Oryzias latipes: one gene and its partners. The protein of the gene in region 2 purifies or fractionates together with the protein of the main gene of each other region. This does not show direct contact. Links are inferred from orthologs where the notes say so. Each region holds a gene or a part of one and is shown on either strand. Other genes may lie near its edges.

Region 1 (4,293 bases), on a different chromosome or scaffold from region 2:
GAGGAAGAAGCAAACACAGATTCCATATTCTCCTTTCCAGCATTACAGCCTAATTATTTGACCACAAGCACAAACAGCCAAACAGCATGGAAGTCACTTCTGCTCACAGCCTCCTCAGTCATGGTGAGGAACTTTACACCCACGATTCCCCACTGCTTGGAGAGCAGGTTTTGGAGCGAAAAACTCAGAAAATACGTGAACGAATCAAAATGTCGCTTTGGGGTTGTTTTTTGTGAGCATTTAACATTATAATACACTGAAATACTCAAAAAGTAGATTTTTCAGGATATAGACCCTTTAAAGACTTGCTCTGATGAAAATGATATTTTCAGCGTTTTTTTTCACATATTTTTGTGGCAAATATCTGATGATAGAGGACACATACAAAGAAAATTAAAATGAAATGAGAAATTTCTATATTTAAATCTATGTGAATCAGTAGAAGACAAAAAAAATGCTGTAAAAAGATTCTAAGTGTGACGTAGAAGTTAGTGCAGCGAGCTCTCTGCTCCATTCCGATGCATCCACTTGTAGCTGCGTAGATCCGTGCACTTCTTCGTTTTCCTCGTCTGAGCCGGAATCTGGACAGCTGGATGGCCCCGATATTGCACGCCATTTTTGTTGCAGCGCTTATGTTAGGATGGGTGTGTGAGGGGTTGTGAGCTATTGGTAGAGCGTTTAAACCAGTAGTCCCGTGATGAGCTCTGCTGCCCTGCAGAAACTACGTCCCAGTGACACAAGTGTTTGTTGATTTTGTCTAAATGCGGCATAATCATTCTCATGAAAACCACTGAGAATGCTTTGAAAATAGATCAAAGGATGATCCGAGTTGGACTTTAATTGATTTTCGAGGGTTTTTATAGTTTATCGACAAACTCACACCGATGCATAAGCTGCAATAATCTTATTTTTTCCACTCGTTACACAGTTGTTCTTTCTTTGAGTCAGATTGTTAGAAGAATGTGTCTGAATTCCCTCTTTCACATCAAGAATGTGACGAATTGCACAGTGAGTAGACTGTAGGGTCACGAGAACTGGACGGCATTAAAAACTGGATAAACTTTCCCCCAGAAGACACGTCTCCTCACAGAGCGGGAAGGAGAAACCTGTGCCGTGGAAATCGACCTGTGAGTCAGTGAGGGTTGGTGTGGGGGTCAAACAAACCCTCCAGAGGAAGTGGAAGGAGGCAGGTTTTTCTGCTCCTGTTTCCTTACATTATTCCCACTACCTTTTATCTCCTGATGGAGGCCTGTCCTGCCCGCCTCTTCAGCCAAACCAGGCTTGGTATGCGCTTAGTGATTGCGCAGAGGTGGTGATGAAAAGTGGCTCCATGTTTACCCACCGGAGGAGATAAGGGCCTCCTTTTTCCCCTGGAGGGAAGTGACCACAGTCACATGTCCAGGCAGGGAGGGAGGAAGGGAGGGACGCAGGTAAGGAAGCCGGATCTCCAGAGCAGGAGGAACATCTGAATGAGCGTAGTCCAGCTGAGAGAAGGAGGTGTTGCCCTCGGGGATCAGGATGACTTGCTGTTTGTGAGTTGACAGGGTATCTTGTGACTTTTTTTTTTTTTTTTTTTTGGCAGAAGAGGAAGGGAGGAAGTGAATGACACAAATCACAGTGCAGCCTGTGCAGTTTTTGTCCTTAGTTCCCAGTTTTGAGCAGCTGTGATTGATTCGAGAAAGCGCTGGGGGAAGACGAGCTGAGCTTTCCATCCGTGGACTTCCAGCCAGCTCTTGCAGGAGAGTCGCTGCGGGGACGGCGGCTGGTATGGACCGCGGCTTCCCTTCTTTACGGTCTGAGGCGGCTGGAGCCGTCAGGACAATGCTGGCTTCTGCCGAGAGCTTACAGCTCACTCTGAAGCCTGAGCTCAGTCAGGAAGAGCAGGCCCTCACACACACCAACGGCAAACCAAAGGAGACGCACAAAGCCGGGTATTGCAGTATTTTCCTGAATGTACGAGTACTAACATCTATGCAAGCTTCTCTGCCAGAATCGTTTTCTGATAAATGAACCACGATATTGATGATTCTGGTGTGTTACTGTTTCCCTGGTGCCTTTTGGCTTAGACAGAACTGCCCTTGGGGTGGAAATGGGCTGAGAGTGAGCGAAAAATGATGCCACACAGGTGAAATGTCAAGGTCGTAGACCGATCGGTAAGGCTGTAGAGCAAAAATGTTCGTGTGCATTTTGTTTCTAAGGGGTGTGCTGCGGTAACGGGTCATAGAGAACATTTATATACCCCATAAGAGCTGCTATGGGGGAAATCGGCCGTTTGTTTGACCCCCACCAAACTTGTGCGCTGCACAAGTCGCCTGTTAGTGCTGTTCACGCAATAAGTGCGCGCTCTTTGTCCGCCTCCTCCAGTTTTGCCCATTTTTGGCTCGCAGACGGTCTCAGTCTAACCATAAGGGCAGCTGTGACTAAAACTTTTTAAATCACACCTGTATATGAAGCCACTTATTCTGCATCTTCGCCATGGCTGCTGTTTAGGACTCTACAGAGTCAATTCCATGGATGGGCAACCTGCGGCCCGTTATACTATTTAATTTATTAAATTATGCTGATAATCCTTATTAATGTTTTATTTTCCCTGCAATTCCCCATAGATGGTGGAGTACAAATATATTTACCTTTTGTTTTATCTGCAGGAAGTTGTGCTGCATCATGTAGTGTTGGCAGATTTGTTGTATTTCTGACGTTCACGTGTGTTTTTTGAGTCCGAAATGTAAATTCCAATGCCACACGAACGCAGCATTTCTCTAAGTTTGCATTTTTCTTTGAGGGACATCAACCCATTGGTGCATTTGAGACTAAAATGTGAACAAAAGCCACAAATTGTGTCTGTGTGTGTGTGGGGGGGGGCTATTAGCTATGTTTTTTAACATAGCTAATAATTTTCAATCAAAATTATTAGCTATGTTTTTTAACATAGCTAATAATTTTCAATCAAAATTACACCATGTTTTTGTCCAGATTCAATGTTTTTTTGTTTGGACACCCCTTGGAAAACTTTTTTCTAAAGACAGCCAGATTCGGGATACTTTGGGATACTTTGAGATACTTTTTATTTCCCCACATAGAACAGAAATGTCTTTAAATACATTTTTACCAAAATTACTTTCATATTTGAAAACAGGAAATAGAATAAAGAGAGAGTCTGGTTATTAAAGCCTTTTGTCAACATTAAATCTGGGTTCATATGAAGTGGTAAGCATTAGTCACTATTAAGTGCTCAATGTTCTGAATTTAAATCACGTAAAAAGCTAAATAACACAAATAGTTAACTTATTCAGAAGCACAAACCACTGCTTTCGATCATAGAATCAAATGAATCAGTTTGGCCCTTAAGGCTCTGAATGTCAAGTCGCCCCAGGTTTACAATAGTGTGGAGCGTAATTTAGCCAGAAGAAAGTGCCGGAGGGGCCCGCATATTATAGATCTTATGACAGGAGACTGTGGGCCGGTAGAAATTTGAACGAGGGCCGCATTTGGCCCCCGGGCCGGACTTTGGACATGCCCGTCAGGTGGATTACCTAAAAGCGCCACGCATCTGCTCCTGTCAAATTTTAGAACCCTTTAGTCAAAAAGTTCCCCCACCCCTGGTGGGCCTCGGAGAAACGAGGGGGTTGGAACACGGCCACTAAGGCCACCGTACACCTGGAGATGTGATGGTCACCTGTCATTTGAATGAAAAACTGTGATAACATAACTGAGAAATGTTATGCCTCAAACAAATATAGGTCTGGATGAAGTTGTCTGTGTCATAAAAATGTCATTCCGTGCTCTTGAGCAAAGCCATAAGCTGCTGTTGAAGGCATTCAGTGTCTCCTGAAGAACGAGCGCGATGTAATGCCTTAACAGAGGAGATGGTGAAGCTGTTGGGCAGGAACTCCCCGTTGCAGTCATTGTTCATTGTACCGTCCAGAGAACGGTCAAAACTGATGAGAATGTTGTCCAACCGGTTAAAACCAGAAGTGTTTGTCTGTCCTCAGGAATGAAGACCTGAAAGAGATGCTGGAGAGCAACAAGGAGTCCCTCAAACTGGAGGCCATGAAGAGGGTTGTTGGGGTGAGTGCATCATGGGAGGAAACTGATGGAACAAATGCACTGGAGCCCTGGAATGTCCTGGAATGCATGGAGACAACATTTTTTCTACATTAGAAGTCCCTGAACTCTTAATCCCTAAAACAGTTTGTGATTTGTCTTCTAAACATTTCATTAAACACTGCAAAAACTGATTTTCAACAGCAACACAATCTTTAAGAAAATATGTCTTAGATTTTTTTTCCTTAG
Region 2 (3,613 bases):
GCCAGGATGTGGAAATGAAAAAGGAGCAAAGGAACATAATCTTCAAAATGCTGTTTTAAAAAAAAAGTTAAAGACCCACTCTGAGGATTTTTTTATGGTGTTTTAAATGTTATTGTAGCATTTTTCTAATGATGGACATATATTAAGATCATTGGGCGTAAAATTGTATCTTTGAGTATTTGTTAATTCAAATTGCTGTGAATCGGGAGCAGATGAAAAAGATGCTGTTTGAAAAAGATTGAACAGTTTTCTCCGCGTATTCGTGGAGGTTAGGGACCAGAGACTTCCGCCAATATGCTGCAATCTTAACTCATCAAAAACCCTTCTGAAACATTTCTGATACTCTGTGAAACATTTATTAAAGAACGTTGCTCAACATGGTTTTTTTAGTCATTCAGAGTAATAGACTGTACTGTAGCGTACTTTATAATGCACATTAGGAGTGCCAGTCTGTTTCTCTATGCCTAGAAAGCAGGAGCCCGTACTTCCTTAAGTGCCAAAGGGCATCTTCTTCCAGAAGAGGTTGGTTTCATCCATCATTCATTCATCCAGATGATAATTATACTTCCTCAGCGTATTAGGATATTTTCAAGCTGCTTTTGAGTCAGCTGATGCCATTGGGGCACAAACTTTGGTTATAGCGATTCTGGAACCAGCTGTTGCTCGCTGGGAAATATTCTTCCGCAGCCGGGGGGAGGCCGACTGGCCAGCTGGCTCTTCATCTCCCCGCTCCCCTCCTTAGAAATTCCCGCAGCACAAGTCTCATACAAGCATCTTGAGTTGTCTGAGCTTTTGTGACGAACCAGAGGAGTCACGTGATTAAAAAAAAAAAAAAAGGAATCTGCGAACACGTGAAACAGCGAATATTGAAACCCGAATTGGCGGAGGAACACTGTAGTTGTGATGTAGAAAATACGACTGCTCCACTTCATTCTGATGCATCCTCTTGTAGATGAATAGATCCATGTACATCTTTGTTTTCCTCGTCTGAGCTGTTATCTGGCTCAGAACTGGACATCTCCAATACTTCTCTCCCTTTGTTGTTGCACCGATCATGTTAGGTTGGGGTGAACTCCTGCCGCTCTGCTGAAACTATGTCCTAGAAAACGGCATAATCATAATGAAAAGACCACTCTCACTGGGAACGCTTTAACAACAGATTAAAAGATGATCAGAGTGGGTCTACAAGAATCTGAGTTGCAACGCTTTGCTTTGTTGGCTTAAAAGCTTTTTTCTTTTCTTGCTCTCTCTTTATAATAAAATGAAAAACTTCAGACAAATTATATAAACACTTAATAATAAATAAAAAAACATAGGTTTAGCAAACAAATACTCCAAAAAACACTGGATTTTCTCTTTAGTGAGTTCTCAAAAGTTACAAGTCTTTTTGTGAGAGAAGAAAACAGTTGAGGAGCTCTTGTCCAACCCAGTTACAAGCTTTATCTCTTCCCGTCTTATCTCCAGCTATTCGGATATATTGTGGGCAATCTTTATACGCCTGACTGAAAACATCCTGTTTTTTTTTGCTCCCTCAAAATTCTGTCGTAACATGTTTACGGTACCTTATTATACTAGGTTGGGCTTTTGATAAGAGTGTTTTTTTTTTCTGCTTGTTTTAAAGAATATTACCTATTTTATGCTCTTTTCCAAGAGATGGTGATAAAACCTGAAGAGAGTTTCAGGAAATGTGCCGTCAAGAATGTTTGCTAGATATTTTCCCTTCGCTGTCATCGTGTTCTTTCTGTGTTCCAGGCTGATCGGGGGTTCGGACTACAAGCTGATCTATAGACACTATGCCACGCTGTACTTTGTGTTTTGTGTCGACTCTTCAGAGAGCGAATTAGGCATTTTAGACTTAATCCAGGTAAAATAAATCGGACTTTCAGAAGAATGTATACTCTTTAGTTATCTTCTCTCTAACTGTTCCCTTTGTTTGTCAGGTATTTGTAGAAACGTTGGACAAATGCTTTGAAAACGTCTGTGAACTTGACTTAATTTTCCATGTAGACAAGGTAGGAAAATCTTTCACCTCTCTGTGATGTAACACGTTTATTAGACTGTTTGTTTCAGCCTACCAATCCCTTTGACCCTTTTTCTTTGTAATAATTTCCCGTAGTTATTATTGCCTGTTATTATCTGATGACTTTCTGTTTCGCAACTGCAGGAACTTTTGAGTCAACCATAAATACCATACCTGCTTTAGAGCCTCCACAAATAGAGAAACCTTTAAACCAAAATGAAGTTTAGCCTGTTTTCATTTTATTAAGGAAGTTTGAAAAAAAATGTGTTGTTTGAAACGAGCTGAAACTCAGGGAAGTCTTGTAGAAACTTTAAATGATTGATGATTTGTAATTTGGGTTTATTTCTGCAGGTCCACAATATTCTTGCTGAAATGGTGATGGGTGGAATGGTCTTAGAGACCAACATGAACGAAATCATCACACAGGTGGACGCCCAGAACAAGATGGAGAAAGCTGAGGTATGAGGTTATCTGTCACTTTGTTCTTTCCTCGGCCTCCCTGAGGAATGTTGCACAGTATGCAGGCATGTGTGTACGCTGCACTCTGCATGCTACTCTTGGTCACTCTGTGGATGCTCCCCACCTTCTCTCAAGTGTTTGTGCTCTTTTCTGGCCTCTTCTTTGACTGCTTCTATGCTCTCAACGCAGCTCAAACCTCAGTAGATCCTATACTCTAACCCAAATATACAAAAACAGATCAATTCACCTCCAGAATCAGTGACCATTAAATCCTCCTTACCATTGAATGACATTCAGCTACATACTCATCACGTTGAGGGGAAAGTTTGGAGATTTAGATTTTCTTTTCTTGAGCCGATATTTTCAAAGTCTTCGCTCAGATATCTGTGCTCTGCAAGTACATTTGTTTGTTTTCCATGCAGCTTCGGTCAGAAATCCGCTTTCATTTCTCTATTGGAAAGACAGACAGCCAGAGACAATTTCACTAAATGATGGTTTTCTTTTTCTACGCTCAGTGTGGATTAGAGCCTCTGATCGATAAACTGAGTCAAAAATATGTCCAAGCACGTTGTGTAATGTCTGCACATTCATTTTGCAAATACTTTATTTCCTGTTGAGAAACGACCCTTTACAAAATGTGTACCGTATTTTTCGGAGAATAGTTACATTTGATTTTTTATAAATCAACCGCTAGAGGGAACTGTAGGCAAGTGTGTCAGTATTTACTACTGACCGTAACACAGAAGAAACGCCGCTCAGTCTTACTCCGAGCTTGACAGATGAAGACTTTAAAGGATTTAGGGATTTAAAGTGATATAAAGGGTTTAGCTGACTTGTTGTCATGCTGCGGTTATCTTATTAATTGTTCATTTACTGCGATAATATACTAGAAACTTATTCAACTCCTCCTATGTTTTATGGAGCTAAATACGGTTATGGTAGTGAAGCGTGCACATATTCATTCTATTATTTGTTATCTCTTCCATTATTATGATTTGCCTTTCAAGATGAAATGTCCGATTTTGTTTCCGTATTTTGTTAAATAAATTCCTCCTAAAAGTGTGACTTATAGTCCAAAAAACACTGTTTTTTCTAAGCTTAAAGTCAATGTTTGTATTATTAGATTTTTTAGAG
Region 3 (4,403 bases), on a different chromosome or scaffold from region 2:
TGTTCGCCACCTAGTGGTACGGACTGTGAATGTCGAGGGTCTAATCATATTTGTAGTATAAATCCATCTGTTTTAAGATATATTTCCTTTTTCCTTCCCCATAATTTCTCCATCTCAAAGTTTTCTAATAACCCTTTTTTACCTAAAACAACAACAACAACAACAACAACAGTAAATGTATAACTACAATCACTACTCCATATGCCATTTGTCTCCCATTTTATTTTCATCCTCAATAGTTGTACGCCCTTGTATTTGTTCAGTGTACTTCCTGCAATTTCATAATAAACGTTTCTATAGTCTGATACTCGTTGCACATTTTATAGTTAGATATTTTCCAATGATTGAATGATTGTAACTCAGTTGCATGTGGCCAAACCTGCATTCAAGTCTTTGACCCTTGCATCTAATTTTCACCATAACCCTTCCTCCTGCCTCCTCCTCCTAACTTTGATACCTTTTTTTTTCTTCAAAAATGTAAAAACAACATAAATAAAAGTAGCTATTTAATCTATAAAGCTGAGACAGATGATAGGTTTTAACTGCTGTTCTGTAGGTACTGGGTGTATATAATGTCTGATTTGAGCAATTAATTCAAAGGAATTTTGAGGTTTAAAGCCAAATGTAGTTTAATGAATGTAATATTTTGTTAATAAAATCAGGAAATGTAACCAATAAAATTGTGAAGTAACTTTTCATAATCAGTAAAACCATACAGGATCTGTTTTTCCATGTCAGGAAGAAATCGAGAAAAAATTGAGTCATTATATCATACTGACAATTACTTCCAAACTAATTTTTTGTGATCATAGGTCGAAATTAAATATATGAATGTTTCTTCACATTGTTTACAAAATCTACCCCCCCCCCATATTAATCCTTTTGTCTTTGCAATTATCTTTCGAAAATGCAGTCGTATCAAGGAAGTTTGTTGTTTTCCCTGGGTAGTGACTTGTAGGTAAGTTGTTGCTGCCATAGACAGTATGGTTCCTGCCCAACTCAGTTTAACGAGGAGCTGTAGTAGTTATAGGTGCTACTTTTTCTAATCATATACATACAATAAAATGGTGAATAAAACTTCGGAAACTTCCAAATACTGTCATTAATTGTGTTATACCATGGGGAAATGCGTACGTTTCACAACAGTACACGTTAAAATGCCATCAAAATACAAAAAATCATATTGAGTTTTCCAAATAGTTTTTCTTTAAAAATTTGTAATATTCTAACAAAACCTTTCCACACAATAATGCTGACATACAACAATGGATTAGCTATTTTAAAGAACACCGAAAACTGAATGGTCTGATGCGCGGCTTAGATCGTTGTCAAAGGTTGCCTGCAAAACTATACACCGGTTTTTTTAACCCACTGACTGACAACAATGAGAGCAAAACAGCTGTCCTCTGATTTTGCCTGATTAAAAATAAACCCACTAACTTTAAATAAAAAAATGGAGGGGAAGAATATTACACTTTATTAGATTATCGTGAATGCCACTTCAATAGCGTAAATATACCCGTTTTTCAACTATTAGTCTAGTAGCACAATTCAGTTCTTTCTGCTTACGTGTGCACATAGCTGTAGGCGTCCCCTGAGATGCCTATGAGATATACTTCCATATTGGCACCAACTGAGTATTCTTCCCTGTAGTTGAATCGAGTTTTTTCTTTTTTTAAAGCAAGTGATCTACAGCTAAAACTTTGTAAAAGCTGTAAAAATATTTCGCACTTTACATGTTGGTCTTCCTCTGACAGGATTAACGATAAGTTGGTAAGTATGATTCATATTTTTCTTTCTGTTATCTCACTCAGCACAATAAACTTTTAACTTTTCAGATAATATTTCAAAAGTCTTTTCATTTTTTTTATTTTTTACAAACTGTTTAGTTTAAGTTATTTGAATCATGTGACCGACATTGTGTAGTTATCGTGTGCCATCTGGTCTAAGAGAACCAACTCAAACAACAACGTTTCCTTCTGCAGCTGAGATGATCGACAGTCTGTTCCTGATTAACCACTCAGGAGACATTTTCCTGGAGAAACACTGGAAGAGTGTTATCAGCCGGAGTGTTTGTGATTACTTTTTCGAAGCTAAGGAAAAAGCAGTAGACCCAGAAAATGTGGCCCCTGTCCTGCAGACCCCACACCACTATCTCATCAGTATATACAGGGACAAGATCTTCTTCCTGTCTGCCATCCAGACTGAAGTGCCTCCACTTTTTGTCATCGAGTTCCTGCACAGAGTTGGAGATACATTCTTGGTAGTATTGATTTCTTACCTGAATGTCTTCTTTGTGATAAGTGTGTGCCAGATCTTAAGTGCTTCTAGTCAAGCTCTAGGAATAAGTTTCCTTCTTGCTGCACTTTCATGTAAGTATATAATATATATTAAAGATATAACTAAAAAGTCCTTTATAAGACATTCTTTGAGGCATTAGTTTGGCCAAATATAAGAATTTCAGCAGCAACCTTAACCTTGACTGCAGTTAGTATTTTGTGCTGACTTAAACCAGGGATCGTCTTTGGAATTATCATTTAAACCAATAAAAAAGTATTTTTATTTCAGACTCGAAGTGTAAATGTCAACACCATTAAAAAGAAACACAAGACATACAAAATAATTAAAATACAAGTGAATACACCAATTATAAACCTAATAAAGTGGCCAAACCAGTACCTCCAAATTGGGGACTGGTAATGCAAAGTGCTGTGCCTGATGTTGGTTAGGGTTAAAATGATTTTATTCTTGGAAGCGTTAAAGACGTTGTATAAAACCATAAATAAGATTACTTAAAAGAGCTTGGAGAGTGTTGACTCATATATCATACGTCTTTTTAATAAAATCCCATTATATACCCCATGCAGGCTAAATGGCTATGGAAGGATTTGTTAATACACGATAAAGATATTTTACTTTGTGACTTATGTTTTATTTTGTCTAAACTAAACTGTGTTTATGACGGAAATTGTCATGGGGCACTGTAAGAAATGTTGCTGAATGGGTTTCATGTTAAAAAAAGGAAGAATTGTCAGATTTCAGTTAATAGTAAATGTACCATGTGTACATGCAGGTATGGTGACAAAGCAGAAAAGGAAAAACACAAAAAATATCTTTGAAAATATTAAATTGATAGTTTTGTGTGCTTTAATGCAAATTAAAGGGATTTTATTAAATCTGCGATCCAAAGTAATATCAAAAGGCTCTTCAAGTGCTTAGAAGTACAGCACTCTCAATTGTGCTACACTCTTTCTAATAGAACACAGAACTTACGTTATTGCCCATATTGGTCTGCTGACGCTGCTCAAAGGGACAGCCACTGTTGTCCTTTCAGTAACATTTTTTTTTTTTTTTTGCAGGATTACTTTGGAGAATGTTCAGAAACTGTAATCAAGGATAATGTAGTGATTGTTTACGAGCTATTGGAGGAGATGCTCGACAACGGATTTCCGCTCGCCACCGAGTCCAATGTCCTCAAGGAGATGATAAAGCCTCCCAACATTCTGCGGTCAGTCGTCAATACACTAACAGGTAAACAAACGTCACAAGGAACATTGTGAACTTCTGGCTCTTTAAGTCACACTGAAGGGCAGCGTTAACATTACATTTCATTTGTTTTTTCCAGGAGGTAGCAATGTTGGAAACACTTTGCCAACAGGTCAGCTGTCTAATGTTCCATGGAGAAGGGCTGGTGTCAAGTACACAAACAATGAGGCATATTTTGATGTGATCGAAGAAATTGATGCAATTCTCGATAAATCAGGTACTTGAAAAGAAGAGAAGAATAAAGCAGTTGGTGGGAAATGCAGTTAAATGCACAGTAATACCGGTGACTTTGTTTACTGAACAGGGACAACAGTATTTGCAGAGATCCAGGGGGTCATTGAAGCTTGTGTGAGGCTTACCGGGATGCCGGATCTCACTTTGTCCTTCATGGTGGGCTCATTTCCCCCCATATCTGTATTTAGATCATCTGTGCACTTTTGTTCAAGTCTAAATTTTGCTCATTATTGATGTATTATTGACAGAATCCTCGTCTCCTGGATGATGTGAGCTTTCATCCCTGCGTGAGGTTCAAACGCTGGGAGTCGGAACGGGTTTTGTCTTTCATCCCTCCAGATGGAAACTTCACTCTCATGTCATATCAAGTCAGCTCTCAGAAGTAAGTGATTCATGGGGAGAGCAATGGGGTGACTAGGGCTGGCTATGGATTATGAGGAGGACTGCATATATGAAGATGTCATCCTATCCTCAGGTTATAAAAATTCAGAGCTGGATAAAAGTTTTCAACCACAAAGAAAATTACTTTCAATATACAGTTTAGCCTCTTAAAGCATAGTTTAAATTGGAGGTTGTTGCAATTAAATTTTGGCATAACTCTGTTCCTTTGTCATTTCTATGAT

What was found.
Region 1: the proteins of ap3s1 (region 2) and ap3b1 fractionate together in Homo sapiens (co-fractionation; 5 studies listed by BioGRID and IntAct, counting the BioPlex papers as one, with this or other methods). This does not show direct contact. The link is inferred for Oryzias latipes from reciprocal best matches to the Homo sapiens genes AP3S1 and AP3B1.
Region 3: the proteins of ap3s1 (region 2) and AP-3 complex subunit mu-1 purify together in Homo sapiens (co-immunoprecipitation; 4 studies listed by BioGRID and IntAct, counting the BioPlex papers as one, with this or other methods). This does not show direct contact. The link is inferred for Oryzias latipes from reciprocal best matches to the Homo sapiens genes AP3S1 and AP3M1.

What each region holds. Positions count from the first base shown.
Region 1 is NC_019870.2:3,664,880-3,669,172, reverse strand, and holds the start of ap3b1 (AP-3 complex subunit beta-1), read left to right. Parts: upstream 1-1,440; 5' UTR 1,441-1,767; coding exon 1,768-1,931; intron 1,932-3,992; coding exon 3,993-4,068; intron 4,069-4,293. UniProt on the Homo sapiens protein: Subunit of non-clathrin- and clathrin-associated adaptor protein complex 3 (AP-3) that plays a role in protein sorting in the late-Golgi/trans-Golgi network (TGN) and/or endosomes.
Region 2 is NC_019867.2:7,077,749-7,081,361, forward strand, and holds part of ap3s1 (AP-3 complex subunit sigma-1), read left to right. Parts: intron 1-1,752; coding exon 1,753-1,864; intron 1,865-1,940; coding exon 1,941-2,012; intron 2,013-2,371; coding exon 2,372-2,479; intron 2,480-3,613. UniProt on the Homo sapiens protein: Part of the AP-3 complex, an adaptor-related complex which is not clathrin-associated. The complex is associated with the Golgi region as well as more peripheral structures.
Region 3 is NC_019873.2:23,929,001-23,933,403, reverse strand, and holds the start of AP-3 complex subunit mu-1, read left to right. Parts: upstream 1-1,582; 5' UTR 1,583-1,773; intron 1,774-1,985; 5' UTR 1,986-1,990; coding exon 1,991-2,263; intron 2,264-3,359; coding exon 3,360-3,531; intron 3,532-3,625; coding exon 3,626-3,763; intron 3,764-3,850; coding exon 3,851-3,936; intron 3,937-4,028; coding exon 4,029-4,162; intron 4,163-4,403. UniProt on the Homo sapiens protein: Part of the AP-3 complex, an adaptor-related complex which is not clathrin-associated. The complex is associated with the Golgi region as well as more peripheral structures.